Stegostoma tigrinum: one gene and its partners. The protein of the gene in region 1 purifies or fractionates together with the protein of each later gene. This does not show direct contact. Links are inferred from orthologs where the notes say so. Each region holds a gene or a part of one and is shown in the gene's direction. Other genes may lie near its edges.

Region 1 (7,872 bases):
GCCGATGGACTGGCTTTTTTTGGGGTGTCTGATCCTATTGTCTTTTGGGGGATTTTGATCCTATAGATTGTTTTTTTTAGAGGGACCTGATCCTAGGGATTGGTTTTAGGGGCTTCTGATCTTATTGACTGGGTTTTTTTGGGGTGGGTGTCTGATTCTATTGATTGTCTTTTCGAGGGGTTCTAATCCAATGGTTTTTTTTAGAGGGATCTGATCTTAGGGACAGGTTTTCGGGTGTTCCGATTCTATTGACTGGTATTTTTTGTGGGGCTTAATGTCAGATCCTATTGATTGTTTTTTGAGGGGATCTGATCCTCTTGACCGGTTCTGGGAGGGTCTTATGCTATGGACTGTTTTGGGGGGGGGGGGTGCGGGGCGGTCTGATCCTGTGGACTTTTTTGCGGGGGTTATATCCTCTGGACTGGTTTATGGGGAGAGTTTGATCCTAGGGACTGGTTTTGTGCGGGGAGGGTTCTGTCCTATGCACTGTTTTTGGGAGGGGGTCAGATCCAATTGACTGCTTTTGGGGGGGGGTATGATCCTAGTGACTGGTTTTTGTGGGGTCTGATCCTATGGACTTTTTTTGGCCGTCTGATCCGAATGACTGGGTTTTGAGGGGGGTTCTGATCCTATGGACCAATTTTTGGAGGGATCCGATCCAACTGACTGGTTTTGTGGGAGTTCTGATTCTCAGGAGAGGTTTTTGGGCGGAGTCTGACCCTATGGACTGGTTTTTAGGGGCGTGTCTGATCCTGTGGACTAGTCTGATTCTAGGTACTGGTCTTGGGGAGTTCTGATCTGAGGGAGTGGTTTTTGTGGGGGGAGAGTCTGATCTTGTGGACTGGCTTTTTGGGGTCGTGTCTGATGCTAGGGACTGGTTTTTGGGAGGGTGGTCTGATCCTAGGGACTGGTTTTTGTTGGGGGGCGGTGTGTCTGATCCTGTGGACTGGTTTTTGGGAGGGTGGTCTGATCCTAGGGACTGGTTTTTGTGGGGGGGGAGTATGTCTGATCCTGTGGACTGGTTTTTGGGAGGGTGGTCTGATCCTAGGGACTGGTTTTTGTGGGGGGGTGTGTCTGATCCTGTGGACTGGTTTTTGGGAGGGTGGTCTGATCCTAGGGACGGGTTTTTGTGAGGGGGGTTCTGGTCCAAGGGACTGGTTTTTGGGAGGGGGGTGTGTGAATCCGAGGGACTGGTTTTTATGAGGGGGATCTGATTCTGAAGGACTTGTTTTTGTCGGGGGTCTGATTCTGAGGGACTGGCTTTTGGGGATGGGGTGTCTGATCCTAGGGACTGGTTTTTGGGAGGGGGTCTGATCCTAGGGACTGGTTTTTAGGAGGGGGGTGTCTGATTCCGAGGGACTGGTTTTTGGAGGGGTCTGATCCGAGGAACTGGTTTTTGGGAGGGGGTGTCTGATCCTAGGGACTGGTTTTTGGGAGGGGTGTCTGATCCGAGGGACTGGTTTTTGGGAGGGAGGGGTCTGATCCGAGAGTCTGGTTTTTGGGAGGGGTGTCTGATCCGTGGGACTGGTTTTTGGGGGGCGTGGTCTGATCTGAGTGACTGGTTTTTGGGAAGGGGGTGTCTGATCCTAGGGACTGGTTTTTGGGAGGAGTGCCTGATCCTAGCGACTGGTTTTTGGAGGTGTTTGATTCCGATGACTAGTTTTTGAGGGGGGAGGTCTGATCCAGTGGTCTGGTTTCTGGGGGGTGTCTGATCCCACGGATAGATTTTTGGAGGTGTCTGATCCGAGGGACTGGTTTTTAGGGGGGGGGTGTCTGATCCAAGGGACTGGTTTTGGTGGGGGGGGGGGTGTCTGATTCTGAGGGACTGATTTTTCGGAGGAGTGTGTCTGATTCCGAGGGACTGGTTTTTGGTGGGTGTCTGATCCGAGGGACTGGTTTTTGGGAGGGGGGTCTGATCCTAGGGACTGGTTTTTGGAGGGGTCTGATCCTAGGGACTGGTTTTTGGGAGGGGGGGTCTGATCCGAGGGAATGGTTTTTGGCAGGGGTGTCTGATCCGTGGGACTGGTTTTTGGGGGTGGCGTCTAATCCTAGGGACTGCTTTTTGGGAGGGCGGTGTCTGATCCTAGGGACTGGTTTTTGGGAGGCGGGGTCTGATCCAAGGGACTGGTTTTTGGGAGGGGGGTTTGATCTGTGGGACTGGTTTTTGGGGGCGGGTCTGATCCTAGGGACTGGTTTTTGGGCGGGGGGTGTCTGATCTTAGGTACTGGTTTTTGGGATGGGGTGTCTGATTCCGAGGGACTGGTTTTTGGGAGGGGGTGTCTGATCCTAGGGACTGGTTTTTGGAGGTGTTTGATCTCGATGACTAGTTTTTGAGGGCGGGGGTCTGATCCTATGGTCTGGTTTCTGGGGGGAGTCTGATCCCACGGATAGATTTTTGGGGCTGTCTGATCCTTGGGACTGGTTTTTTTGGGGTGGTATAATCCTGTGGACTGGTTTTTGCGGTGGGTCTGATCCTAGGGACTCTTTTTTGGGTGGATCTGATCCTGTGGACTGGTTTTGGCGGGGGTGTTTACAATCCTAGTGACTGTTTTTTGTGGGGTCTGATTCTATGGACTTGTTTTTTTGGCCGTCTGATCCGAAGGACTGGGTTTTGAGGGGGTTCTGATCCTATGGACCAATTTTTGGAGGGATCAGATCAAATTGACTGGTTTTGGGGAGTTCTGATTCTCGGGACCGGGTTTTGGGGGGAGTCTGTCCCTATGGACTGGTTTTTAGGGGCGTGTCTGATTCTGTGGACTGGTCTGATTCATCATGGGCCTCCTGCACTGCCACAATGATGCCACCCAAAGGTTGCAGGAACAGCAACTCATATTCCGCCTGGGAACCCTGCAGCCATATGGTATCCATGTGGACTTCACCAGTTTCAAAATCTCCCCTTCCCCTACTGCATCCCTAAACCAGCCCAGTTCATCCCCTCCCCCCACTGCACCACACAACCAGCCCAGCTCTTCCCCCCCACCCACTGCATCCCAAAACCAGTCCAACCTGTCTCTGCCTCCCTAACCGGTTCTTCCTCTCACCCATCCCTTCCTCCCACCCCAAGCCGCACCCCCAGCTACCTACTAACCTCATCCCACCTCCTTGACCTGTCCGTCTTCCCTGGACTGACCTATCCCCTCCCTACCTCCCCACCTACACTCTCTCCACCTATCTTCTTTACTCTCCATCTTCGGTCCGCCTCCCCCTCTCTCCCTATTTATTCCAGTTCCCTCCCCCCATCCCCCTCTCTGATGAAGGGTCTAGGCCCGAAACGTCAGCTTTTGTGCTCCTGAGATGCTGCTTGGCCTGCTGTGTTCATCCAGCCTCACATTTTATTATCTTGGAATCTCCAGCATCTGCAGTTCCCATTATCTCTGATTCTAGGTACTGGTTTTGGGGTGTTCTGATCTGAGGGACTGGTTTTTGTGGGGGGAGTGTCTGATCGTGTGGACTGGGTTTTGGGGGGAAGGGTCCGATCCTAGGGACTGGTTTTTGGGAGGGGTGTCTGATCCAAGGGACTGGTTTTTGTGAGGGGGTGTCTGATCCTAGAGACTGGTTTTTGGGAGTGGGTGTCTGATCCTAGGGACTGGTTTTTGGGAGGGGGGGTCTGATCCGAGGGAATGGTTTTTGGCTGGGGTGTCTGATCCTAGGGACTGCTTTTTGGGAGGGGGGTGTCTGATCCTAGGGACTGGTTTTTGGGAGGAGTGTCTGATCCGAGGGACTGGTTTTTGGGAGGGGCGGTCTGATTCCGAGGGACTAGTTTTTGGGGTGGGGTTGTCTGATCCGTGGGACTGGTTTTTGGGGGGGTGCCTGATCCGAGGGACTGGTTTTTTGGGGGGTTGTCTGATCCGAGCGTATGGTTTAATGGGGCGGGGTCTGATCCAAGGGACTGGTTTTTGTCGGGGGGTGTCTGATTCAGAGGGACTCCGTGTTGGGAGGGGGTCTGATCGTAGGGACTGGGTTTTGGGGGGGTTGTCTGATCCGAGCGACTGGTTTTTGGGGGTGTGCCTGATCCTCGGGACTGGGTTTTGGAGGGGTGTCTTATCCGAGGGACTAGTTTTTGGAGGGGGTGTCTGATCCTAGGGACTGGTTGTAGGGAGGGGGTGTCTGACCCTTGGGACTGGATTTTGGGAGAGGTGTGTCTGATCCTTGGGACTGGCTTTTGGGAGGGGCTGTCTGACCCTTGGGACTGGATTTTGGGAGGGGTGTGTCTGATCCTAGGGACTGGTTTTTGGGGTGGATCTGATCCTGTGGACTGGTCTTTGGAGGTGTTTGATCCCGATGACTAGTTTTTGAGAGGGGGTCTGATCCTGTGGACTGGTTTTTTGGCGGGGGGGGGCTCTGTTCGTAGTGTCTGGTTTTTGGAGGGGGTATAAGCCTGTTGACTGGATTTTGGGCTGGGACTGATCCTGTGGACTGGTTTTTGGAGGTTTTTGAGGGGGGGGTCTGATCCTGTGGTCTGGTTTCTGGGGGGTGTCTGATCCCACGGATAGATTTTTGGGGGTGTCTGATCCTATGGACTGTTTTTGGAGTGGTCTATTCCTGTGGCCAGTTTTTGGGGTGGTCTAATTCCTGTACACTGGATGTTGGTAGGGGTTCCGATCCTGTGGATTGGTTTTTGGGGCGCGACTGATTTTAGGGACTGGATTTTGGGGCGGGATTGATTTTAGGGCGGGACTGATTTTTGGGGCCGGGGTCTGCTCCTGGGCCTGCTGTGTCCACCCAGCCCCACACTTTGTTATCTTGGGTTCTCCAGCATCTGCAGTTCCCATTATCTCTGATCCTCGGGACTGGTTTTGCCGTCCCGACAAGGGAGACGTTGACATCATGGAGCTGGGCGGTGACAGTCGGCGGAAGTGACGTGTGTCCGGAAGTGACGTGTAGAGAGGCGGCCCAGCGAGTGTTCTAGAAGCTGGGCCTGGGACAATTGGAGACGGGGAAACGATGGTGGATTATAGCGTGTGGGACCATATCGAGGTGTCGGATGATGAGGACGACACCCACCCGAACATTGACACGGCCAGCCTGTTCCGCTGGCGGCACCAGGTAAACTCCGGGGCCGGGCACCTCCATTCCCCCCACCACCAGGGCCGGCTTCCATCTATCCCGTCCCCATCACCTTCTTAAACCCCCGGGCCCTGATACACCCCCCATCCTCATCTCCTTCAAATAGTCCCGGATTGACCCCCCCGCCGCTTCGGTAGACTTCGTTCCCCTCTGTCCGACCTCCCAACAGCCTTCCCTCCAGCGGCGACGCCCCACAACCCCCACCACCACCACCAGCCCACCTCCAACCCCCCGACCACCACCTCCTCCCCCCACCACCTCGTCCACCACCCCCCACCACCACTTCCTCGTCCACCACCACCTCCTCGTCCACCCCCACCCTGCCCACACTCCTTTCATTACCTGAAATTCTTGATCCCTCCATTTAGATTTCCACAAGACCTTTGACAAGGTGTTGCACAGGTCTCTGAGTAGGATCCCATGGTGTTAGGGCACGGAAAGGGGATTGGCTCTCCAGGCAGAGTTGGGGGCTCAAGGGCCCTTTTTCAGGATGGCAGCCACTGACTAGTGGACTTCCTCACAGCTCAGTGTTGGGACCGCAGCTATTCATGTCATGCATTAACAAAGAAACTGATGGCATATTTGGTCTTTTTTTTTGTTTATTCATGCTTGGGATGAGATGGGATTTATTGCCCATCCTAATTGTCTAGACACCACTTATGAGTCAACCACATGACTCTGCGTCTCGAGCCACGTATAGATCAGACTGGCTAAGGATGCCAGTTCTTTTCCCTGAAGGACATCACTGAACCAGATGGGTTTTTCTGACACTTGACAATAGTTTCTTGATTTTCATTAGACTCTTAATTACAGATTTTTTTATTGAATTCAAATTCCACATCTACTGTGACAGGATTTAAACCTGGGTCTCCAAGACATTACTTGTGTTTCTGCATTAACAGTCCAGCAATAATACCGCATGGCCATAGTCTATGCTTTTGCACATGATATTAAGATCGATGGAGGCAGATAGTGTTGAGGAGGTGCTGAATCTACAGAAGGACCTGGACCGACTGGATGAGTGTGCACCAAAGTAGCTGGTGAAATGCAACACAAGGAAGAATAGAGAGTCAACTGTGACTTACTCTGCCTTTTTCACATGAGTTGGACGTCTTTAATTGTTAATCATCTGGTGTCACAATTTCCTAACAAGAATGATTTGAAATTGCGGTTTTGGGTTGCTAGCACAATATTTTCTAAATGTCCAAAGGCTTCGGAAATCTGAAGCACAAAGGGACTTGGGCATCCTAGTTCAGGATTCTGTTGACATGCAGGCTCATTTTACAGTTAGGAGGACATATTTGCTTTCGTTTCAAATGAATTGGAATACCAGAGTGCAGATGTGCTGTTGTGTTTGTATAAAGTTCTGGCAAGACCACATCTGGAGTATTGTGAGCAATTCTGGACTTCGTATCCACGGAAGGATGTATTGTCTTGGGAGGCAGTCCAGAGGTGACTGACAGGAGTGACCCCAGGGCTGATGGGCTTGTCGTATGAGCAATGGTTGAGGAGTCTGAGTCTGTACTACATGGATTTCAGAAGGATGAAGGGGGATTCTCATTGAAACTTGGAGAATGTTAAGAGGTCTGGATGGAATGGGTGTAGATAAGATGTTACCACGTAGCAAAGGTGAGGACCTGAGGCTCAAACTCAGAATGAAGGGATAACCCTTTAGAACTGAGACTGGGAAAAATTTCTTCAGCCAGAGGGTGGTGAATCTGTGTAACTTATTGTTGCTGAAAGCTGTTGAGACCTAGTCATTCTTTCTCTTTAAGACAGGTAGATTCTTGATCAGTGAGGGGATCAGGGAAGAAGGCAAGAGAGTGGTATTGAGACATTATCAGCCATGACTGAGTAGTGGAGCAGACACACTGTGCTGAATGGCCTAGTTCTGCTCCAATATCTTTTGCTGAGAGAAACTCTTTTTTTCTTTCTTGTCATTCTGTATTCCCATAAAAAGTTAACACCTTCTAGCATAGCTTGTGGAAGATCATACTGAATCCTGAAATATAACACTCGAATTGTATTGGTCAGCATGACTATTTCTTACTCTGCCTTTTAAAATCAGTTGGGACCATTTTAATAGTTAATTTTCTGGTGTCACAGTTTTTTAGAATGATGAAAATTGTGGTTTTTGGGTTCCTAGCAGAATATTGTAACTTTGTTAGCAGCATACTTTATTTTGTACTTGTTGTATTCTTTCCTCCACAATGTATGTTGAGCAGAAATCCCTCATTCGGCTTCAAAGTGAAGCTATAGATAAGTATGTAGGAATGGTTTGTTTTCTTGGTGTCAAGTCTTGTGTACATTTGTTCCAACTTGAGATGCTTGGTTTATTTAAATCTGGTGAGTCTGAGCGAATAGCTGGTTGAACAAAAGCTTCAGATATGGTGAGGTTGTTGAACACATTCATGTCATGCCGGAACTGATCTGATGTGATGAAGCTGAAAAACAATGACCTTGATGGAGTACAAGGACCATGTTGAACAATCGAATCACAGACTTCAGAAAGGAAGTCTCCTTCTCGTTAGCCTTTTCATTAGGGGGTCTGTTTCCAGACAAAACAGGTGCCACTCCTTTTAACCTTTGGGGAGAGGAGGCTGGAGAGTCTTGAATCTGGGACTTTGATCATTGTACAGCAATATTCACTGGCAAGGTGGCCATGTCACTGAACTAATAATCTAGAGCCCCAGGGTAATATTCTGGGGGCATGGTAGGTGAAGTTTTGAACTTTGGAATTAGAAAGCTAAACTAATAGTAACCATTGTACTGTCAATTGTTGTAAAAAACCCTCTAACTAGTCCT
Region 2 (7,103 bases), on another chromosome or scaffold:
GTTGTCAGCCCCATCTAGGTCATTTTCATATGAAGTTAATAGCTGGGGCTCAAGTACTGACTATTATTGTACCTCACTAGTCTTCCATTCGGAAAAAGGCCCATTTATTCCCAGTCTATGTTTCCCGTCAATCAAATTTCAATCCATGCCTCGATGTTACTGTAGAGACCTGCGTGATTTTTCTTTTATTTTTCTCTTTTTTGGCGCACACATGAACTGAGATTTGGATTTCTTAAACTTTCAACTGTTGTGAGTTTTAGTGAAAAAAAAAACAAACGTATGTGTTTGCTGTTGACAACTGACCTGGTCGATCAGATGGACCAATGTGCCAACAATTGGCAGATGGAGTTTAATTTAGATTAATGTAAGGTGGTGCATTTTGGAAAGGCAAATCAGGGCATAACTTATGCACTTAATGTGTAGGTCCTGGGGAGTGTTGCTGAACAAAGAAACCTCGGAGTGTGGGTTCATAGTTCCTTGAAAGTGCAATCACAGATTGATAGCATAGTGAAGAAGAAGTTTGATATGCTTTCATTCATTGGTTAGTGCATTGAGTAAAGGAGTTGGTAAGTCCTGTTGCAGCTGTACAGGACATTGGTTAGGCCACTTTTGGAAAACTGAGCGCAATTTTGGTCTCCCTGCTTTCGGAAAAATGTTCTGAAACTTGCAAAGGTTCAGACAGAATTACAAGGATGTTGCCAGGGTTGAAGGGTTTGAGAACCAAAAATAAAACTGTGGATGCTGCAAATCAGGAACAAAAACAAAGTTGCTGGAAAAGCTCAGCAGGTCAGGCAGCACCTGTGAAGGAAAAAACAGGGTTAACGTTTCGTGTCCATTGACCCGAACTGTTAACTCTGTTTCTTTCCTTCATTGATGCTGCCAGACCTGCTGAGTTTTTCCAACAACTTTGTTTTTAAAGGATTTGAGCGACAGGGAGAAGCTGAATAGGCTTATGCTATTTTCTCTGCAGTGTCAGAGGCTGAGGGATGGCGTTACAGAGGTTTATAAAGTCATGAGGGGCATGGATAGAATAAATAGACCAGGCTTTTTCCCCAGGGAGAAGAATCCAAAACTAGAGGGCATAGGTTTAAGGTGAGAGGGGAAATATTTAAAAGGGACCTGAGGGACAACTTTTTCATGCAGAAGGTCGTGATGTCTGGAATGAGCTTCCAGAGGAAATGGCGGAGGCTGGTAGAATTAAAACATTTAAAAGGCATCTGTGTGGGTGCATGAACAGGAAGTGTTTCGACAATATGGGCCAAACGTGGGCAAATGGGCCTAGATTTATTTAAAATATCTTTTCAGCATAGACGAGTTGGACAGCAGGGTCTGTTTCTGTGCTGTACAGCTCTATGACTCTAATTGTGGATGTAAGGAATACTGTAGATGATTTGGCAGCAAGCATTGCTATGCCGAGGGCTGGCAGCTAGTCAGATGTTGAATTGGTCAATCAAAAGAGAACCGAATCTAATCAGCACCCAAAGAGATAATTGATCCAAAAAGGAAAAAAAGAAAACTAGTTCTGTTTGGTTTTGTGAGGTGCAGAGTGATTTTGGAAGCTTCTGTACTATTCTGCATCCAGTTAAATTGGGGCGGCACAGTGGTTAGCACTGTAGCCTCTCAGCGCCAGGGACCTGGTTTCAATCCCAGCCTTGGGCAACTGTCTGTGCGGAGTTCGTACATTCTCCCCATGTCCGCGTGGGTTTTCTCCAGGTGCTCCAGTTTCCTCCCACAGTCCAAAGATGTGCAGGCTAGGTGGATTGGCCATGCTAAGTTGCCCATAGTGTTCAGAGTGTGTGGGTTATCAGGGGTTGGGGTCTGGGTGGGATGCGCCAAGAGGCAGTGTGGACTTGTTGGGACGAAGGGTCTGTTTCCACACTGTAGGGAATCTAATCTAAAGAATTGTTGAATATTCAGACAAAAGAATCACAGTCTGCGAGGAAAAAAGTAAACAATTAGGAAGTCTACTGAAACTGCTAATATTAACCAATTATCTTGAAATTAGACCTGTAGTCACACACCCGTGAATAACTCCTTGTCCAGGGATTGCATGAAGGCTTGATGTCTATTGTTTGAAACTGGTTAACTGAAGTGGTGATGTGGAGATGCTAGTGTTGGACTGGAGTGGACAAGGTCAGACACTTTGATCTTTTACTTATAAATTCTGTGTGTAATACTACCTCTTTTACTAACACCTAAAGGAGGAGTGAGGCTCAAAAAGCACGTTTTCAAATAAACCTGTTGGGCTATATCCTGGTGTTGTGAGATTTCAAACTGAAGTGGAAAATTATAATTTTTGCTTTCTTTTCAATTTATCTGTTAATTCTGTCTGTCAGTCTGCCAGGTGGTGTGAGACTGTTGATTATAAACAAAAAAAGTTGTGTTTAAATCATGGATATTCATTAGATTACATTGTTGTTTAGTATTGTTCTGTAAAAAGTTACAGTACTAATTATAAACTGTTAATTTTTAAGTTACAATCTTGGTGTCCTAGATCTGATCTTCACAAAGTCTGTTTAGGAACAATTGGGTATTTTGAGGGTCACTGAATATTTTAATTTCACTCTATTGCATATCCAGTGATTATAGGGCTGATTTATTTTGACTTGCTATCTCTGTTATCCTTGTGTATTCCTGTCCCCAATACTCCCAATCTCATGTGCTTTGATTTTCCCCTTTAATCTCTTACATTGGTCCTTATCAAAAGCCTTCCAAAAAATCCAAAACCACCACATGCACAGTCTGTCCTTTATCCATTCTACTAGTTGTATCCTGGAGAAATTTTTTTAGATTTGCGAAGCACAATTTCCTTTTTGTAAATCCATGCTGACTGTGTCTGATCAATTATTGTTTTCTAAATGTTCTGCTTTAAAATCTTTGATAATGGACCATAGTGTGTTGCCCACTACTGATGTCGGGCTCCCTGGTCTATAATTCCCTGTGTTTTCTCTCCATCCATTTTTGCAGTGGCGACATTTACCACTCTTCAATCTGTAGGGACTGTTCCAAAATCTATAGAATTTGAAAGCTAACCAGCATGCATCTAATGTTTCCAGGGCCACTTCCTTTTGTATTCTGGAGTTTATTATTCAATGTATTGTTGTCACATGTATCAAGATACAGTGAAAAATGCTCTTTTGCAGTCCATACCATAGAAAGTGCACCTGGAAGGCAGACAGATTGCAGAAGACAGTATTACAACCACAGAGGAGGTGGAGAGAGAATGAGCTCAGAATCAACACTTGAGGGGACCATCAAAAATCTGATAACAGCAGGAACAAGTTGTACTTGAATCTGTTTATATGCTTATTCAAATTTCAATATCTCCTGCCCAACAGAAGATAGTGCAAGAGAGTTTAAATGGGTGGTTGGGGTTTTTGGTAGATGTATAGATGGAGTCAGTGAATGATAGATCATTGGGCCATGGTGATTTGTCACCCTTTAACACCATTCACTTCCCCAGCATCATTGTCTTTCTAATAACGATATACTTCAATTCTATCCTCTCGCTAGACCCTGATCCCCTAACATTTCTAGGAAGTTATTTATGCCTCCTTCCATGAAAACAGACTTGAAGTACAAGTTCAATTCTTATATTTCTTTCTGCTCTACTGTAATTTGACCAGCTGCTGCCTTCTGAGGACCTATGTTTGTCTTTACGAATCTGTTGGTTCTTCACACATTAAAAGAAACTTTCACATCATCCGCAATTTTACTCATTTTATTTTCCTTGTAGCGTTATTGTCATATTCTGTGCTGTCGACCTCTCTGTTCTCATTTTGATGAAGTATAAAACGTTCCCAATGCTCAGGCTTCAATACTTTTCTTCTGGCAGGTTTGTAAGTTAGGTATTGGAGATGTAAAATTACCCGAACAAATTTAACCCTTATTGCACGCATGTCTGACTTCACGCTTCACGCCTTTCCCCTACCCGCTGTTATTTGGGGAAAATCCCTTCAAACCAGTACTTTGGTGGTTCCTACCTGCACAGACATCTTTTGTTCAGAGACAACCTATCAAACCAGGGACGAACCAACATGCCAACTGCCTGCCAGGGCCAGCGAGTGCGCATGCTCAGTAAACGGATCCGGCCCTGGCGCATGCGCGCCGTGTTGGACGCGGCCATGGAGGAACGGAGAGGCGGTTGGTCGATCCCCGGCGCGTGTAACAGCCCGTAACGAACACAGAATCAGGAAAACGCCGCTCAGCAATGGCGGGTACCACCGCCGCTGCTGGCCGGGGCGCATCCATGAACTTCTGGCGGGCCTTGCTGGTGCTGTGGAGCTGCTGCTCGGACACCGTGTGTCGAGGCGGCCCCGGGGTCAACGTCTACCTGAGCGTGGAGGAGACGCGGCGGCTGATCGGTGCGTCTGGGCCCACGGGAGAATTGGGGCTCGGGTGGAGGGTGGGCGTCGTATCTGCTGGGGTTTGGGTAGGGGGGGGGGGATGTTGGGGGCGTGGCCTGTGGGAGGCGGGGAGAGACGGGGCAGGACCTGATGAGACGGCAGTGGGTACGAGGAAAACGGGTATGGGGCTAGGGGAGAGGGGATCGATGGTAGTCGTTGGTGTGGATGCTACTGCCTAAAGAACCTTAGTAAATACTTACTGAGGGGATAACAACGTGTAGAGATGGATGAACACAGCAGGCCGAGCAGCAGCGGAAGAGCAGGAAAGCTGACGTTTCGGGCCTAGATCCTCCTCCAGAAGGGGAGGAGAAGAAGGGGATTCTGAAATAAATAGGGAGAGAGGGGGAGGCGGAGAGAAGATGGATGGAGGAGAAAATAGGTGGGCAAGGAAACAGACAAGTCAGGGATTCGGGGATGGAGCCAGTAAAGGTGATTGGAGGTGGCGAGTTAGGGAGAACATAGGCTTCGTCGGAGGCTCACTGATGATGTTACTTAGAATGGTGACGAAACGTCTGAAAACTAATCTTCCAGCTCAGCGAGCAAACTCACACCCAGAACATAGGTCAGTCCAGGGAGGACGGACTGTTCAAGGAGGTGGGATGAAGTTAGTACGTAGGAGATGGGGTTGGGGCTTGAGGTGGGACGAGTAGTGTCCCAGGATAGGTGGGAGAAAGGACTGATTAGGGAGGTGGAGACAAGCTGGGCTGGTTTTGGTATGCCATAGGTAGAGAGGAGATTTTGAAGCTTGTGAAGCCCACATTGATACTATTGGGCTGCAGGGTTCCTAAGTGAAATATGAGGTGCTGTTCCTGCAACATTTGGGTAGCATTGTTGTGGCACTGCAGGAGGCCCAGGATGGATATATCTAAGGAGTGGGAGGGGGTGTTAAAATGGTTCACGACTGGGAGGTGCAGTTGTTTATTGTGGACCAAGTGTAGGTGTTCTGCAAAGCAGTCCCCAGACCTCTGCTTGGTTTCCCCGATGCAGAGGAGGCCTCATCTGGAACAGCAGATACAGTATACCACATTAGCAGATGTGCAGGTGAACATGCATGTGGAAAGTCTTCTTGAGGCCTGGGATGGAAGTGAGGGGGGAGTTGTAGCACTTCCTGCGGTTGCAGAGAAAAATACTGGGTGTGGTGGCGCTGGAGGGGTGTGTGGCATGGACAAGTGAGTCACGGGGAGAGTGGTCCCTCCAGAAGGCAGATAAGGGTGGGCATGGAAAAATGTCTTTGGTGGTGGGGTCAGCTTGCAGATGGCGGAAGTGTCGGACAATGATACTTTGGATCCAGAGGTTGGAGGAGATACATGAGGACGAGGGGGATTCTGTTTTGGTTGTTGTTGTGGGGTGGGGTGTGGGGGAATGTGAGGGATGCGTTGCGGGAAATGTGGGAGACATAGCCAAGGGTGTTCTCAACCATTGGTTGGGGCGGGGTGCAAAGTTGCGGTCCTTGAAAAATGAGGACATCTGAGATGTTCGGGAGTAGTATGCCTCATTCTCAGAGCAGATGTGGTGGACGCAAAAGAATTGGGAATAGGAAATGGCATTTTTGCTGGAAGGTGGGTGGGAGGAGGTGTATTCCAGGTAGCTGTGGGAGTCGGTGCACTTGAAATGGATATCTGTTGCCAGGTGTTTGCCAGAGAGGGAAACAGAGAGGTCCAGGAAGGAGGGAGAGATGGCCCAGGTGAACTTAAGGTTGGGGTGGAAGGTGTTGGTCAAATCGATGAACTGTTCGAGCTCCTCCGTGGGAGCATGAAGCAGCACTAATACAGTCATCAATGTAACGGAGGAAGTAGTGGGGCTTAGGGCCAGTGTAGCTATGGAAGAGGGATTGTTCCATGTAACCTACAAAGAGGCAGGTACCCATGGCCACCCCCTTTGTCTGTAGGAAGTGGGAGGAATTGAAAAAGAAGTTGTTGACGATGAATTCAGCTAAGTGGATGAGGGTGTCAGTGGAGGGGGACTAGTTGGGCCTGTGGGAGGGAAAGAAGCAGAGAGCCTTTAGGCCATCTGCATGGGGAATGCAAGTGTATAGGGACTGTACGCCCATGTTAAAATGAGGTGTTGGAGACTGGGGAATTGGAAGTTTTGGAGGAGGTTGAGGGCATGGGTGGTGTCAAGGACATAGGTGGGGTGTTTCTGGACCACAGGATAGAAAATAGAGTTGAGATAAGTTTGGTGGGGCAGGAGCAGGAGAAGACAATGATTGACCAGGGCAGTCAGGTTTGTGGATTTTAGGAAGGAGATAGAAATGGGCGCTGCGGGGTTGGGGAATAATGAGGTTGGAGGCTGTGGGTGGGAGGTCACCTGAAGTGATAAGGTTGTGGATGGTTTGGGAGATGGTGTTTTGGTAGTCGGGGGGTGGGGTCATGATCAAGGTGGCGGTAGGAGGAGGTGTCAGAGAGCTGGTGTCTGGCCTCGGCGATGTAGCGATCAGTGCGCCATACTACAACTGCGCCTCTCTTGTTTGTGGGTTTTATGGTGGGGTTGGGATTGGAGTGGAGGGCTGTGCATTCTGTCGGGGAGAGGTTGGACAGGGTGAGAGAGATGGAGAGGTTGAGGCGATTGATGTCTCGACAGGAGTTGGAGACGAAGAGGTTGAGGGAGGATAGGAGGCCTTGGGGTGATATCCAGGAAGAGGGGGTGTGTTGGAGGCAGGGGAAGGGGTCAGTAGAAGAGGGTGAGGCTCACGATTAA
Region 3 (7,524 bases), on another chromosome or scaffold:
CACAGTGGTAGGAAGTAGTAGGAGTGGATTTTTTGAAGATTTAAAAATACAATTGCACCCTAGTTGCTGGATGTGCTGAGTGTACGTGTCTAAGTCTGGAAATGGGCTTCAACATGAATTTCCCACTATCAATATCCTGGGGGTTACTAGTGACCAGAAACCTAACTGGACTATCCAAATTAACACACTAAGAGTCCTGCAGGGACTGTCTTACCTCCTGATACCTTTGAAAAGACACAAGTCAGAAGTGTGATGGAACAGTTCCCAGTTGCCTGGATATGGGCAATTCCATTAACATTCAAGATGCTTGATATGATCCTGGATAAATTTGATTTGGTACCACATTCACTATCTCCACCAATGATACTCAGTAGTAGCAGAATGTGCAACCTCCAAAATGCACTGCAGAAATTCACCAAGGCTCCTTAGACTACACCTTCCAAACCTACGACCACTTGCATTTAGAAGGACAAGGATAGTAGTTAAATGGGAGCATCAATACGTCCAAGTTTCTCTCCAAGCTGCTCTCCGTCCTGACTTGGAAATATATTGTCATTCTTTCAATGTCGCTGGTTCAAAATCCTGGCACTCCCTCCCTAGTACTGTTAAGGGTCTACTTTCAGCACATGAACCACAGTGGTTCAAGAAGACAGCTCACCACGACCTTCTTAATTAGGCATAGGCAATAAAAGATGGGCAATGCCCATATTCCATGGAAGATTTAAAATAAAATGTTAAATAAATGATAGTTTTATGCATTGTGTTCAAAGGTAAGAATATGGACATGAGTGTTAAGTGTAGACATAATGAGGATATATGTTCAGCTAAGACAGTCTCTTGTGTGACAGGTGCACATATTTTTCTAGCTCACAGCAGAGGGTTTCTTCCATTACCTTGTTACACCTGCAGCCCTTCATTCTCTGCAGGCTTTGTGAAGATGTCACTTTGCAAGACAAATTATTGAAACATCATGAAACAACAAAACTTAGAAACCTTTCATATTCTATATTGATGTCACCCACATTACCAAATGTTTTTGATGGTAGTGAGTACATGCACCTCAGATTAATTGCTGGTGTTTTGAGAGGTCTCATAAGCAATGGATGGGTTGGTTGAGACCACACTCAGCATCTTCTTCGCAGCTTTGGTCTTTTTACATAAAAAAAACTTCCCATACAGGGAGTGCAGCAAAGGTTCACCAGACTGATTCCTGGAATGGCATCTTTGTCTTTTGAGGACAGACTGAACTAACTAGACCTGTATCCACTGGAGCTTGGAAGAATGAGTGAGGATCACATTGAAATGTATAACATTCTGACAGGGCTGGACAGACTGGATGTAGAGATGAGGTTTCCCTGACTGGGGGTGAGAAAAAAGATTGGTGGGGGATGAGGGGAGGTTGGAGGGTCATGTCCAACCAAGGCATTCACAATTCCAGCATATAGGGCAAACCATATCGGACTGAGATGGTCAGAAATCTTTTCACTCAGAGGATAGCAAATGTACAGAATTCTCTATCATTTTCTGATGAAGGGTCTAGGTCCAAAACGTCAGCTTTTGTGCTCCTAAGATGCTGCTTGGCCTGTTGTGTTTATCCAGCTCAACACTCTGTTATCAAGCAATGTAAATGCCATTTCCTTTGGGTTTCTGCAATCCTCCTGCTGCAGTTTCAGTAGACCATGGGAAGGTAAACTAACCCCATAGTCAAAGGGAGATGCATTCTCTGATGCTGATATTCACACATTAGGTTCCAATCCCCCACACTCAGGTACACTGAAGTGCAGCTAAAACACTGACAAAATCCACTGGTATCAGGCATTATACCAACCTGTACTTAGCAACATATCAGACCCTATATGACCCGAACGCCCTTGCAAGGAAAGATCATAAATGCGACAAATTGTGCAAAGGATGAGATGAACACATAGAGGCTTCAGTTTTTAACAAAGTGTAGAGCTGGATGAACACAGCAGGCCGGGCAGCATCTTAGGAGCAGAAAATCTGACGTTTCAGGCCTAGAGCCTTCGTCAGAAATGGGGGAAGGGGAGAGGGTTCTGAAATACCCTGGATAGAGGAGAAGATAGGTGGAGAGGAGACAGACAAGTTAAAGAGGCGGGGATGGAGCCAGTAGAGGTGAGCGTAGGTAGGGAGGGGAGTGGTCAGTCCGTGGAGGATGGACAGGTCAAGGGGGCGTGATGAGGTTAGTAGGTAGGAAATGGGGGTGCGGCTTGAGGTGGGAGGAGGGGATAGGTGAGAGGAAGAACAGGTTAGGGAGGTGGGGACGGGCTGGGCTGGTTTTGGGATGCAGTGGGGGGAGAGGAGATTTTGAAGCTAGTGAAATCCACATTGATACCATTGGGCTGCAGGGTTCCCAAGCGGAATATGAGTTGCTGTTCCTGCAACCTTCGGGTGGCATTGTTGCGGTACTGCAGGAGGCCCAGGATAGACATGTCGTCTAAGGAATGGGAGGGGTAGGTGAAATGGTTCATGACTGGGAGGTGCAATTGTTTATCATGAACCGAGCATAGGTGTTCTGCAAAGCAGTCCCCAAGCCTCTGCTTGGTTTCCCTGATGTAGAGGAGGCCACAATGGGTACAGTATACCACATTGGCAGATGTGTGGGTGAACATCTGCTTGATGTGGAAAGTCTTCTTGGGGCCTGGGATGTGGGTGAGGGAAGAGGTGTGGGGGCAAGCGTAGCACTTCCTGCAGTTGCAGGGGAAAGTGCCGGATGTGGTGGGGGGGTTGGAGGGGAGTGTGGAGCGGTTAAGGGAGTCCCGGAGAGAGTGGTCCTTCTGGAAAGCAGACAAGGGTGGAGAGGGAAAAATGTCATTGGCAGTGGGGTCAGATTGTAGATGGCGGAAGTGTCGGAGGATGATGCGTTGGATCAGGAGGTTGGTGGGGTGGTACGTCAGGACGAGGGGGATTCTCTTTTGGTGGTTATCACGGGAACGGGGTGTGAGGGATGAGGTGCGGGAAATGCGGGAGACATGGTCGAGGGTGTTCTCGACCACTGCGTGGGGGGAAGTTGCAGTCCTTGAAAAACGAGGACATCTGAGATGTACGGCAGTGGAATGCCTCATCCTGGGAACAAATGTGGTGGAGACGAATGAATTGGGAATAGAGGATGGTATTTTTACAGGAAGGTGGTTGGGAGGAGGTGTATTCTAGGTAGCTGTGGGAGTCGGTGGGCTTGAAATGGATATCAGTTTCTAGGTGGTTGCCGGAGATGGAGACAGAGAGGTCCAGGAAGTTGAGGGAGATGTTACAGATAGTCCAGGTCAAGTTGAGGTTGGGTGGAAGGTGTTGATGAAGTGGATGAACTGTTCGAGCTCCTCGTGGGAGCATGAGGCAGTGCCGATACAGTCATTAATGTTACGGAGGAAGAGGTGGGGTCTAGGGCCAGCGTAGTTTTTTAATTACTTTTATAAATTGTCTCAGTTTCTTATGAAAGCCTGTAAAATCCTTCACAAAGGCAAAGATAACAAAATAAAGTCATGTGCAATATCTCTGCTGGTTTATTGTTATATTTAAGAGACCAGGCACACAACTAATAATCAGGTTTCCTTGTTTCACAATGGGAGCATATATCCAGTAACAATTATAAATGGCAATGATTTGAATAGATAAGGAGAAGATCATCACATTCCACTGCAGGAGAGAAACAAAATTAAAGCAAAGCTGTTATGTATCAGTTCTTTACATTCAGATTCTATGGTAATGTGATTATGATACAGAATTAAGAACCTTGTGTTACACATAATGCACAGCCAAAAATAAACTAAATACTCAGCAGTCATTTGTAAAGAGTTCAGGTTCATGACCCTTTATCAGAAGGAATACAGTAAAATAATTTATATCCCACCAGGGAGGGTCTAGGCCCGAAACGTCAGCTTTGCTGCTCCTAAGATGCTGCTTAGCCTGCTGTGTTCATCCAGCTCCACACCTTGTTATTTCGGATTCTCCAGCATCTGCAGTTCCTACTATCTCAGGGCTAAATTAATAACTTCCTGGTTCTTCCTTTCAAATTTAATGTTAAAAATCATAAGCCTTGCTAAAAATTCGAAAAAAAACGTTTTTACTGAGTACTGAATAAAGGATAGATATTTAGGAAAAAGAAAGGGGCCGTTTAAGATATTCTGTTTTCATGCAGGAAAGGAGGATGGCCTACCAGAAACTGTGGGTGAAGCAAAATCCATAACAGTTTAAAAAATGTGACTGATAACGATAAATATTTAAAATATGGTGGAAAAGAACACACGATAGAACTAAGTAAACATCAGCTTTACAGGAAACTATAGGCAAAAAGGCCTAGATGACCTCCTTGCGTAACATTCAAATCACAAATTCCTGACACCTCTACGTCTGCGCATGTGTCAATTTCCAGGCTGGGAGAAAGGGAACGCCGGCACATCACGTGACAGTACGCATGCACGCGATGACGTAACCGTCGGCCTGCGGCAGTCCGTTGAAGAACCGCCAATAGCGAGCGAGCGACGGGCAGGCGTCGTCCAATTGAAGCGCGGGCTCTGTTAAATGGGCTTAAAGTGCGGTGGATTTGAATTTAAACGGTAGAAGGAGCAGAGTGAAACGGGCGGTGAGATAGGCAGAGAGTGGGAGGTAGGTTGATTGTAAAGGAGGGGGTAGTCTGGGGGCCTGGGGAGAGGACTTTGGTTCGTCGCCTCTTCAGTGCTGGGGCTGGAAAAGGCCTCCCACCTCGCTATAGTCTGTGTTCTTAACCGTGATCTGGTTACCCTTTCCTGTGCCTTTGGGGCCCTGGTGTAGCCATCTTCAGTTTTGCTCCAATCTCCCTGAATCTGAGGGAGAGATATTCCCCATTGCCCTTGCCCCTTGCCCTTCAATCATGCCCTAACTTGTGTGTCAAGGTCAAGCTGGGGGATGAGAAAGTGGGGGCTCAGCCCTGTCTTCCCTGAATGTCGAGACGCCATATCACTCCTCCGCTGGGATTTTCCACGTAGCATTCGATTGTGGTGTATTTGTGTAATTTACTTAGCCTTTCAAATTCTTAATGGCTTAATATTAACTCGGCCAGTGATCAATACTGGCTACTCTGTTAGAAGTAGCAGCAGCACTTCGGAGATATTAATGGGTGCCGAGAAAATTTCACTTGCTTTGCTCTGAGCTGAAGTTTATATTGCTGGTACATCGTGGGACGCAATCTCTTTTTTTTCTTAGGCTGGATTAATTTAATTGCGTGGCAAATTCGTTTCTTTGAGTTTTAGCGTTCATCTAGTATTACTCATGGCTCTGCATGATAACTTCAATCAGTTACAAGTTTTGTCTCTTTTTACTCTTGTGTGGAGATTGGCGTGAGAAACGTATGGGATCAAAATCAGAAACTGCTTGGAAAAACTCTACAGGCCTGATAGCGTCTGTGGAGAAAAAGCAGAGTAACTCTTAGTATGCAGTGACTGCGCAGACTTTTGTCGTTAGTGGTGCTGATGCTGGCCTATCGCCAAAAAACATGTCTGCTACAGCACAGACCAGCTGGATTGGTGGGGTTAGGAGGATAATTTACAGCATGAAACGCGGCTGCTGTTGAGACTTTAACTTGTGTGAGGCGGTCCTGTTTTGTGGGATTTTCTTTTTCAGTAGTAGTTTTTTTTATTCAAGCCCTTGCAATAAAATGCAGCAGGAATCACTATACACTTCTGTTTTCTAATTTGTGCTATCTCTATCCACCAAGTACAAGTCTATGGATGTGACGAATGAGAAAACTTACAGGGAGGAAATGGCTTTGTTAACTGCTAATATGTGCATAAATAGATCTAAATTTTAATTCTGTTAAGCACACAGGGTTTTGTTTCAGGCTATTTCATTGGGACAGATACCCAGTGGGTTTTGACCTAGAAAATACTTCTCTAGGAAACTGTATGTGTTTGGTTGCTGCTACCCAGAGCTGCTTCTACTGGATTCAGGAAATCATATTTTGTGACTTGTGCTTTGATAGCTTAAGTTCTGCAGTGGAAATTCAAGCCTTCAGCTACCTGACCTCCAGAGAGAATATTACAAATAGCCTAATACAGTATAATAACTTTTTAATTTCCACTTGCAGGATTTTAGATTACAAATGGAAAAAAGGGTTGCAAGCCAAGGAGGACATGCTGGAAAGGTATTTTTGCTGCCAATTGAAATATTAATTAATGGTTATGATGGAAATAAACTGTTGAATAACTTAGTAGTCAGTCATTGATGTACAGCAGGGAAATAGATCTTTGGTCCAACTTATGCATGCCAAATAAACCTCGTCCCATTTTGCCAGCATGTGGCCCATGAACCTCAATCCTTCCTGTTCATAATTCATCCAGATATCTTTGTAAATGTTGCAATTATACCAGCCTCCTCCAGTTCCTCTGGCAGTTTGTTCCAGACATGACCACCTTCTGTGGAACAAGCTGTCTTTTTAAAATCTTTTCCCTTTTGCCTTAACCTATGTCCTCTAGTTTTGGTCTCCCTTACCCTGGGACCTTGACTATTCACCCTATCCATACCCCTTGTGACCTTTGAAACCGCTATTACGTTAGCCATTGGCCTCTGACACACCAGGGGAAAACAGCCCCAACCTGTAACTCAAACCCTCCAACCCTGGCAACATCCTTTAGTCTGTTCTGAAGCTTTTCAAGTTCATCAACATTTCCTATAATCAAGGAGGTCAGAGTTGAATATAGTATTTCAAAAGTAGCCACAACCTGTCCCAACTCCTATACTCAGTGATAATAAAATGTGAGGCTGGGTGAACACAGCAGGCCAAGCAGCATCTCAGGAGCACAAAAGCTGACGTTTCGGGCCTAGACCCTTCAGAGCTCTCTGATGAAGGGTCTAGGCCCGAAACGTCAGCTTTTGTGCTCCTGAGATGCTGCTTGGCCTGCTGTGTTCACCCAGCCTCACATTTTATTATCTTGGAATCTCCAGCATCTGCAGTTCCCATTATCTCCTATACTCAGTGTACTGACTTTTGAAGACAAGCATACAAATTTCATCTTTGCTAGCCTGTCTACCTGTGATTCCATCTTCAAGGAACCATAAATCTACTCTAAGGTTTTTTGACAACACTCCCTAGGATCTTGCCATTAACTGTGTAAGCCCTGTCCTGTTTAGCTCCAACAAAATGTCGGACCTTCTATTTATATAGATTAAACTCCATCTGCTGCTCCTTGGCCCATCCTTACAACGTTCTGTTGTATTCTGATGCAACCTTCACTGTCCACTTCACCACCAATTTTTGGTGTCACCTGCAAACTTACTTAGCATGCCTCCTATATTCACACCCAAGTCACTTGTATAAATGACAAAAAGCAGTGGATCCAGCACCTGATTGGATATTGTTCAGTAATACAAAACCTTAATGCTTCTGAAAAATTGCCTTCTCTAAGGCATTACATCTAAGAATGAGTGATAATGGGAACTGCAGATGCTGGAGAATCCAAGATAATAAAATGTGAGGCTGGATCAACACAGCAGGCCCAGCAGCATCTCAGGAGCACAAAAGCTGACGTTTCGGGC
Region 4 (7,250 bases), on another chromosome or scaffold:
CTAAATTCTAACTACTTGCTGCTAACGAAGATTTTTTTTTCATGTTGTTTCTTTTCTTACCACTCACCTAATTTCAGTAACTTTGGATTGTCAACCTGACGCCAGTGGCAGGGGTTTCTCTCCATTCATACCAGATGATCAACCCTTTGAACATTTCTGTGAAATTTCTTCTTTAAGCTCCAAACTAATTGTAATCCTGAAATCATTCTTTTGAAGTTTTCACATCCTTTCTAAGTTGCAGTGTCCAGAATTGGACGCAAGTCCAATTGAAGTCAACCCAAAATTTTACAAAAGATCATATCTTTTTCTTGCTCTTGTACTCTATATGCCTCTATTTACAAAGCACAGAAACTCATAAATACTTTTTTTTCTACTCTCTTAATCTGTCTTACCAACTTCACTGATTTTGTGCATGTATAGCCTCAGGTCTCCATAAGAATACAAGTCATAGGAGCAGATGTACGCCATTCAGCTCAACGAGGCTACGCTACTCCACCCTTCAATGAGATTGTGCCTGATCTAATAATCATCAATTCCACTTTCCTGGCATTTCTCCATAACTCTTGATTCCCTCATTGATTAGAAATGTCTATCTCAGTCTTGAATATGATTAATGACTCAGCCCTAACAGTCTTCAGTCGTAAAGAATTCCACAGATTTACTGCCCTCTGACAGAAGACATTCCTCATCTCTATCTTATATGGACAATCCCTTACTCTGAGACTAGGCCCGCTAGTTCTAGACTCGCCCACAAGAGGATGCAACCTTTCCATATCTACCCTGATCATTGCCTGAGAATCTTAAATGTTCCAACAAGGTTGTCTTTCATTTGTCTACGTTCAACCCTGTTCCATCGCCCCACTTGGATGTTTTAATTGTTTTAATTCTCTCATGGGATGTGGGTAGTGTCAACAAAGGCAGCATCTGCTACCCATTGCTAACTGATCTTCAGAAAGCAGAAATGAGCTATATTCTTGAATTGCTGTCGTGATGTAGTATAAATACATCCAGAGTGCTGCTGGAAACAAGTACAGGATTTTTGGCCCAGAGATATGGTTCCAAGTTAGACCTTGGAGGAGGAACTTGCAGATGGCGTTGTCTCCATCTGTTTGCTAGTCTTGACCTTCTCAGTGCTAGAGCTATGCCTTTTAATACTTCTGGCACTTTTATAACACACATTGTTTTGGCCTCCACTGCTTTTGGAGATTGTAAATTCCACAGGCTCATCACTTGCTGTGTGAAGAAATATCTTCTCTTCTCAGACCTAACTCACATCATTAGACTGTGACTACTGGTTTAGGGATCCCCACCATCAACAACATCCTTCCTGCATCTACCCTGTAAAGTCCTGTTAGCATTTTATAGGTTTCTATGAAATAGTCAATCATTCTTCTGAATTCCAGCAAATATAATCCAAATTTATTCAACCTCTCCTGTTACATCAGTCTCGCCATGCATGGAATCAGCCTGATTAACCTTCACTGAACTACAGCAAGAACATCCAACATCAGACAAGGCCAGATTTAAAATGTATTTTATTATATCTTGACCTGACCTAAGACTTTATTATTATGACTTCTAATATTACTTCTTAATGTTATGTCATCTGCTCCTACCAATTTGTGCACCTTTGTTTATCCTTCCTAACCTTACATCCTCATTCCCATTCCCCTGGTCAAATCAGTTTAAAGCCTGTGCCAAAGCATTAGCAAAACACTTTGTAGAACTTTGGTCCCAGATCTATTAAGGTTCAAAGCATTTGCAATTGTCTAAGGTAAATGTTCTAAAAGGGTTAAAGATGGCTGCATTAGCTACACACAACCTGATGATGGTCTGGAGTCCTGGATAGGGAAATTGGGAGAACAGCTCTGATTTGGAAGGAGGCAGATTTATCATCAATGTATCCCAATTGTCTGAATAGCAATGGCTAACTACCTGATTGCTATTACACAATAAATTGCATAAAGTTACATTAAGAACCTCTTCCTGATTTTTAATTTTTTCTGTTCAGTCCTTCCCCACCTACATCCACAATTCTTGTGATGTTTTACATCAGTTTCAAAATTTCCAGTTCACAGGCTCCAGCCACTTCCTCTTCACCACGGACATGTATCCACTTAATGCCTATTTCCCCATCATGATGGTCTCAAGGTTCTCCACAACTTCCTGGAAAGATGGCCTGAACCGTCTCCATCCACCACCATCCTCATTTGTCTGGCACAGTTCATCTTCGTTTTGAACAACTCCTCCTTTGACTCCTGTCACTTTCTTCAGATTAAAGATGTGGCTATGGGTCCCAGTTATGCCTATCTGTTTGTGGGGTACATGGAACATTCCTACTCTGGCCCCCACCCATAACTTTTTCTCTGGTACATAGTTGACATCATCGGTGCTGTTTCCCCCTCTTATCTGGAATTAGAAAAATGTATCAATTCTGCTTCCAATTTCCACCCTGTCCTCACTTTCATCCCTTCCATCTTTGATTCATCTCTTCCCTTTCTTGACATCTCAGTTCCCATTTCTGGGTATAGGCTGGCCACCAATATCTGTTACAAACCCACCAACTTCCACAGTTACTTCAATTATACATCCTCACACCCCGTTTCCTGTAATGGCTCCATCTCATTTTCCCAGTTTCTTTTTCTTTCTTCACATTTGCTCTGATGATGCCACATTCCACAGGAGAGTTTCCAGCTGCCTGCCTCTTCAACAAACCTCTATGCCCCACACCAATGTTTCTATTGCAGGCCTGCTGCAGGTCCCAGCAAGCCTCAAAGCAAACTCAAAGAACAACATCTTATTTTTCACTTTGGGATCCTGCAGTCTCTAGGATCCAACAGTGAATTTGATAACTTCAGAGAGCATGATTCCATCTTCATTGTTTATGACATGCTCCATATCCAGTTCTGTTATGATATAGTTTACTTTTAGCACAAGTCACTCATTCTCACGTACTTCTGGGCCTATTGTCATATATGTGTTGCACTCAGAACAGCTCACCCATTTTCTCATTCTTAGCTATTCATTATCCCTTATTCAGGTTTTCTTCTGTTCTCGCCTGCTATCAATAATCTCCTCATTTACCTATCTCTTTCATATTTGTCTCACTCCCTCTGGGCTCTGTGTCCAACTATCCATTCACCGCTCCCCTTACCCAGACCCCTTCACCCAGATTCTGGATAAATACCAGATTTTCTAGGTGCTACCGTTTCTGATGAAGAGTCACCAAACTCAAAATGTTAACTCTGCTTTCTTTCCACAGCTGCTGCTAGACCTGCTTTATTTCTCCAACAATTTCTCTTTGTTTCAGATCTCCAGCATGATTTGTTATTATTTTACAATCTTCAACTGTAAAATTAAAAGTACTGTGAAAACAGCCAGATGTCCTCTTACACTCAGATGGAAAAGAGAATAGGTTCTGACGAAGGGTCACGCGACATGAAATTTTAACTCTGATTTGTCTCCAAAATGGACCTGCTGAGTTTTTCCAGTAATATCTGTTTTCATCAGAAAATAGGTTGCCCAGCATCCTTCAACACACAAATATCCCAAGACAGAATGCCAGAGTTACGGAATTATGGTTCGAAAGGAAGCTGCTCAACCCTTGTCTGTCTCATTTATTCCCACATCCTTCAGAACCAGACCCAGTGGCGTGACTATTGCAAAACTGTCCTCACTGGCCTTCAAACTTCTTCAACGTGAACTTATCTTCAACATTCGCCTATCACTCGTTCTCTACACTGATTCTCTGTTCACTAACAAGTCAAATTTCAAACATTCATCTTTGCATTCCTCATCACTATAACTCCCACCTCCTCATCCAACCTGTTTAATTAACAAAAGAACAACAACGGCAAAATGTGAAACATCCAGCAGTTCGTCGTTGTAGGGGACAGGGTGCGGTGCGGACCGGATCCGAAGCTGGTGGGGCGGGATCACAACTGGAGACATTAGTTAAGGGGCGTGTCTGGGCGGGTTTGCAGGTCCACGAATGGGATATTGGGCGAGTGGATAGAGGCGGAAGTGCCATGAGCAGTGGGGGTGGAGTGACGCAGGACGTAAGATGGAGGGGCGGGGCCGCGGTCGAGGCGAAGCCGAGGCTGGGTTGGTGTTGAAGGGGCGTGATCATGAGGGCGGGCCGAGGAGGCGGGGCCGACGGTGGAGGGGGCGGAGCCGTGCGTGCGGTGCAGCTGGTGGAAGAGGTGGGGCCATATGGGCGGGCCGATGGTGGAAGGGCGGGGCAAAGGCGGAGGCGGTCTCTGCTCCCTGAGGAGCCGCCATCTTGTAGTGAAAGCTTTGCATCTTTAAGATAGTCGGCGCTGCTGTGAGTATGGTTTAGATTTGGAATACGGATCTTGTGTTTGGGAGGTTTAAGTTCGGTTCTAGCTGTTTGTTTCGTGTGGATCTGGCTCGGGAATGAGGTGATGATGATGATGATGATAACGGAGGACCTGTGAGTCGGGCCTAGCGCCGAGCTGATCGGATCATTTGGTGGAGCCACTCCGTCCTCTCCACTCGGCTGCCAGAAGAGTTGTTAAAGTGATGTGGATGTGAGGAGACGACCGAGTCCCGACTGGAGAGCAGGTGAGTGACGCCTTGGCCCGGTTTTGATTGCGAGCTACTGGAGTCCCTGTCTCCGGAAAGGGTCTGTACCCCCCCCCCCCCCCCAACTTCACCCCTTCCACATCCTCCATACTCCTCAATCCACGATTACTCCACCTCCATTGCCTCTCCACCTCCTACCAACATCAGCCCTCGCCCGCGTTCTCTCAACTGTCGCTTCCCATTTTCGCTCTCCTCCCCTGCAGCAGCCCCCCAGTCCCACAAATTCCCTTGCCCCATTCAAATCTATTGCCATCTCACACGCTATCCCCAACCCACCCTGACTCCTCCTCATATCCCTATCCCACCTCCACCTCATCCTATCCTATTTTCACTAACCGTTATGTCACCCCATTCTCCATTCTCACCTTTGGTTGCTAATCTCCAGCTAGGCTATGAATTTTAATCCCACTTGCTAATTTCTCCACTCAAGTTTCCACTCCGTACCTATCCATTTGTGCAGAACAAATCCTCTGTAATGGCATATTGAAATAAGTGACCAATTAATATTTGTTGTTGTCGATGCAGGGATTGAATGTCATTATGCCAAAGAGTTCCCTGCCCCTCTGTCTTTTACATCCACATGTTGGATAATAGAAGCAGTTTGGTTATATCTTTTATTTAAAAGACAGTACCTTGAGTAATGCAGCAATCCCTCAATTCTGCATTTCAACGGATTGTGTGAATTATTCAAGTCTGTCAAAAATCTGGCTTTCAGGTTAGGTACCTTCGTGTCATTGTGCCTCATATTGATGCAAAATGAGTGATTTTTACTGCTGAAAATTTCTGAAGTTACAAGTGTACGTTCCTGACATGGACTTCTAAAAGTTGGAATGCATAACTGTTTCTGGAAAAACTGGTTCTGTTCTTGTGGATTGTTGTATGATGTTTACTGATTTTGGTGTACCCATCTATTTAAGACTTGTGTAAGTTATTTGCTTTGGTTAAATTAGGTTTGTCACAGCAGAAACCCCTCCCTAAACATATTTGTTATATACAACATTAGTCATTCATGGGTGTCTGATTTAACTATGGGTTTATAAGCCACAGTTAGTACACACTCATTAAAATAGTTTTCAACTTGCTGGTCGGATATAACTTATTAAAGTGGGAGAACCAGTTAATTTAGGACCAAATGATAAAATGTATTTCGTGATCTTTTTAAATGATAACATGGCCTGTATTTTGAAATATGCAAGTTTTAACATGTTAAAATTCACAGTAATTTGTTTGTTCCTTGTTCATCCATACACTCTTGAGTAGTGTTATTAAGCCGTTAAATTACCATCTAGCTATTGGTTCCACATATTTAATGCCTTGTTATGAAATAGTTGAGAATGAGTGTAAAACTTGACTGTTTTCATAGTATCCAGCTGAATGAAACAACTTGGGCTTTGGTTTTCTTTGTCCCTGACCTTGATGATCAAGATACCTTAGAATGGATCTGGACTGAGGGTTATGCATTGAAATTAGACCAAAAGTATATTGTCTGAAATGACCATGACTGATCCTTTTTTAATGTCATTCCCTTGTGCTCCCTCCCCATACCCTTTAATGCCTGTGTCTGGTAACTTATCTGTTTCTTTTTTAAATTACTTAGCAACTTCACTTTCACAGTGTTACATGATAGAGAATGGTATATGTTTACCACTTCTTGAAGTCATTTTTCTGCTTTCAGCCCAAAAATCCTTAATCTGTATCTGAAAACCATGTGCCATTGTTGTAGGAACCCCGCTTTGTCATAATGTTACACACTTCACTGAGATTCAGTCTTATTCTTCTAAACCCAATCTCTTCTCGTATGACAAACTTTGTATCTCAGCAATCAGTCTGGTGACCTTTAACCGTATTCCCTGTCTGGCAATTGTAAATTTCCTTAAATGAGGCCACCAGAACTGCACACACTATTGTAAGTGATGTCTCACGAAGGTGCTTTACAGCCACACTAAGCCTACCTTGCAATGAAGGACAGCATGCCATTTACTTTCCTAACTATTTGCTGTACCTAATGCTTGCTTTCATGGTCCATTGTAGTAACAGTGCTAGTAGAGGAATGGTTAAAGCCTCTTTAGACAGTGATGTACAATTTCTTGGAGATCAGAGCCACAGGAGGTTGACAAGGTGCCTGACAGCTCCAGCCTTGATCACTTCCAAATTACAAATTTCTTGGACTTCCAATATGATGGTGAAACAGAACATTGTGAGCAAGACAGCCCTGGTCAGCAATCTGTTCATCTGGAGAGTGGTCATCAGCATTGCAGAAAGGAGACAATGGTTGCGAAGCTGTCCATTAATGGAGATCAATGTCCAGATCGGTTGTACATGTCAGAGTAGGTAATCCCTGAAGCGTCATGGACATAGTGATCGGGAAAAGCAAAATTTGTTCTGATTGTTTGTTTGTCACATGACTGCTAGTGTAGAAAGTTAACTATATTGTTTTGTTTTTAATGTTTATAATGAAGGCATTTGTCTTGGATTGTAAAAGCATCTCCTCATATGTGATACATTTAGGTGATAAAATCTACTTTCATCTAAGTAGCTTCAATTTAAGTAGTGGTTTCCTGGGGCATATTTATTTCTTAAAATGGTGTATTCCTGTATTCTAATAAAGAAAACCGGGTTCTTTATATAACATCTCACTTTTCAAA

The links.
Region 2: the proteins of cdc37 (region 1) and ryk purify together in Homo sapiens (affinity purification with mass spectrometry; 3 studies listed by BioGRID and IntAct, with this or other methods). This does not show direct contact. The link is inferred for Stegostoma tigrinum from reciprocal best matches to the Homo sapiens genes CDC37 and RYK.
Region 3: the proteins of cdc37 (region 1) and aurora kinase C-like purify together in Homo sapiens (affinity purification with mass spectrometry; 3 studies listed by BioGRID and IntAct, with this or other methods). This does not show direct contact. The link is inferred for Stegostoma tigrinum from reciprocal best matches to the Homo sapiens genes CDC37 and AURKA.
Region 4: the proteins of cdc37 (region 1) and yes1 purify together in Homo sapiens (affinity purification with mass spectrometry; 3 studies listed by BioGRID and IntAct, counting the BioPlex papers as one, with this or other methods). This does not show direct contact. The link is inferred for Stegostoma tigrinum from reciprocal best matches to the Homo sapiens genes CDC37 and YES1.

The regions. Positions count from the first base shown.
Region 1 is NC_081388.1:22,687,707-22,695,578, forward strand, and holds the start of cdc37 (hsp90 co-chaperone Cdc37), read left to right. Parts: upstream 1-4,853; 5' UTR 4,854-4,944; coding exon 4,945-5,046; intron 5,047-7,872. UniProt on the Homo sapiens protein: Co-chaperone that binds to numerous kinases and promotes their interaction with the Hsp90 complex, resulting in stabilization and promotion of their activity. Inhibits HSP90AA1 ATPase activity.
Region 2 is NC_081367.1:1,145,001-1,152,103, reverse strand, and holds the start of ryk (tyrosine-protein kinase RYK), read left to right. Parts: upstream 1-4,103; 5' UTR 4,104-4,210; coding exon 4,211-4,364; intron 4,365-7,103. UniProt on the Homo sapiens protein: May be a coreceptor along with FZD8 of Wnt proteins, such as WNT1, WNT3, WNT3A and WNT5A. Involved in neuron differentiation, axon guidance, corpus callosum establishment and neurite outgrowth.
Region 3 is NC_081372.1:47,185,462-47,192,985, reverse strand, and holds the start of aurora kinase C-like, read left to right. Parts: upstream 1-4,507; 5' UTR 4,508-4,620; intron 4,621-6,076; 5' UTR 6,077-6,091; coding exon 6,092-6,133; intron 6,134-7,524. UniProt on the Homo sapiens protein: Mitotic serine/threonine kinase that contributes to the regulation of cell cycle progression.
Region 4 is NC_081358.1:79,796,578-79,803,827, reverse strand, and holds the start of yes1 (tyrosine-protein kinase yes), read left to right. Parts: upstream 1-4,234; 5' UTR 4,235-4,584; intron 4,585-7,250. UniProt on the Homo sapiens protein: Non-receptor protein tyrosine kinase that is involved in the regulation of cell growth and survival, apoptosis, cell-cell adhesion, cytoskeleton remodeling, and differentiation.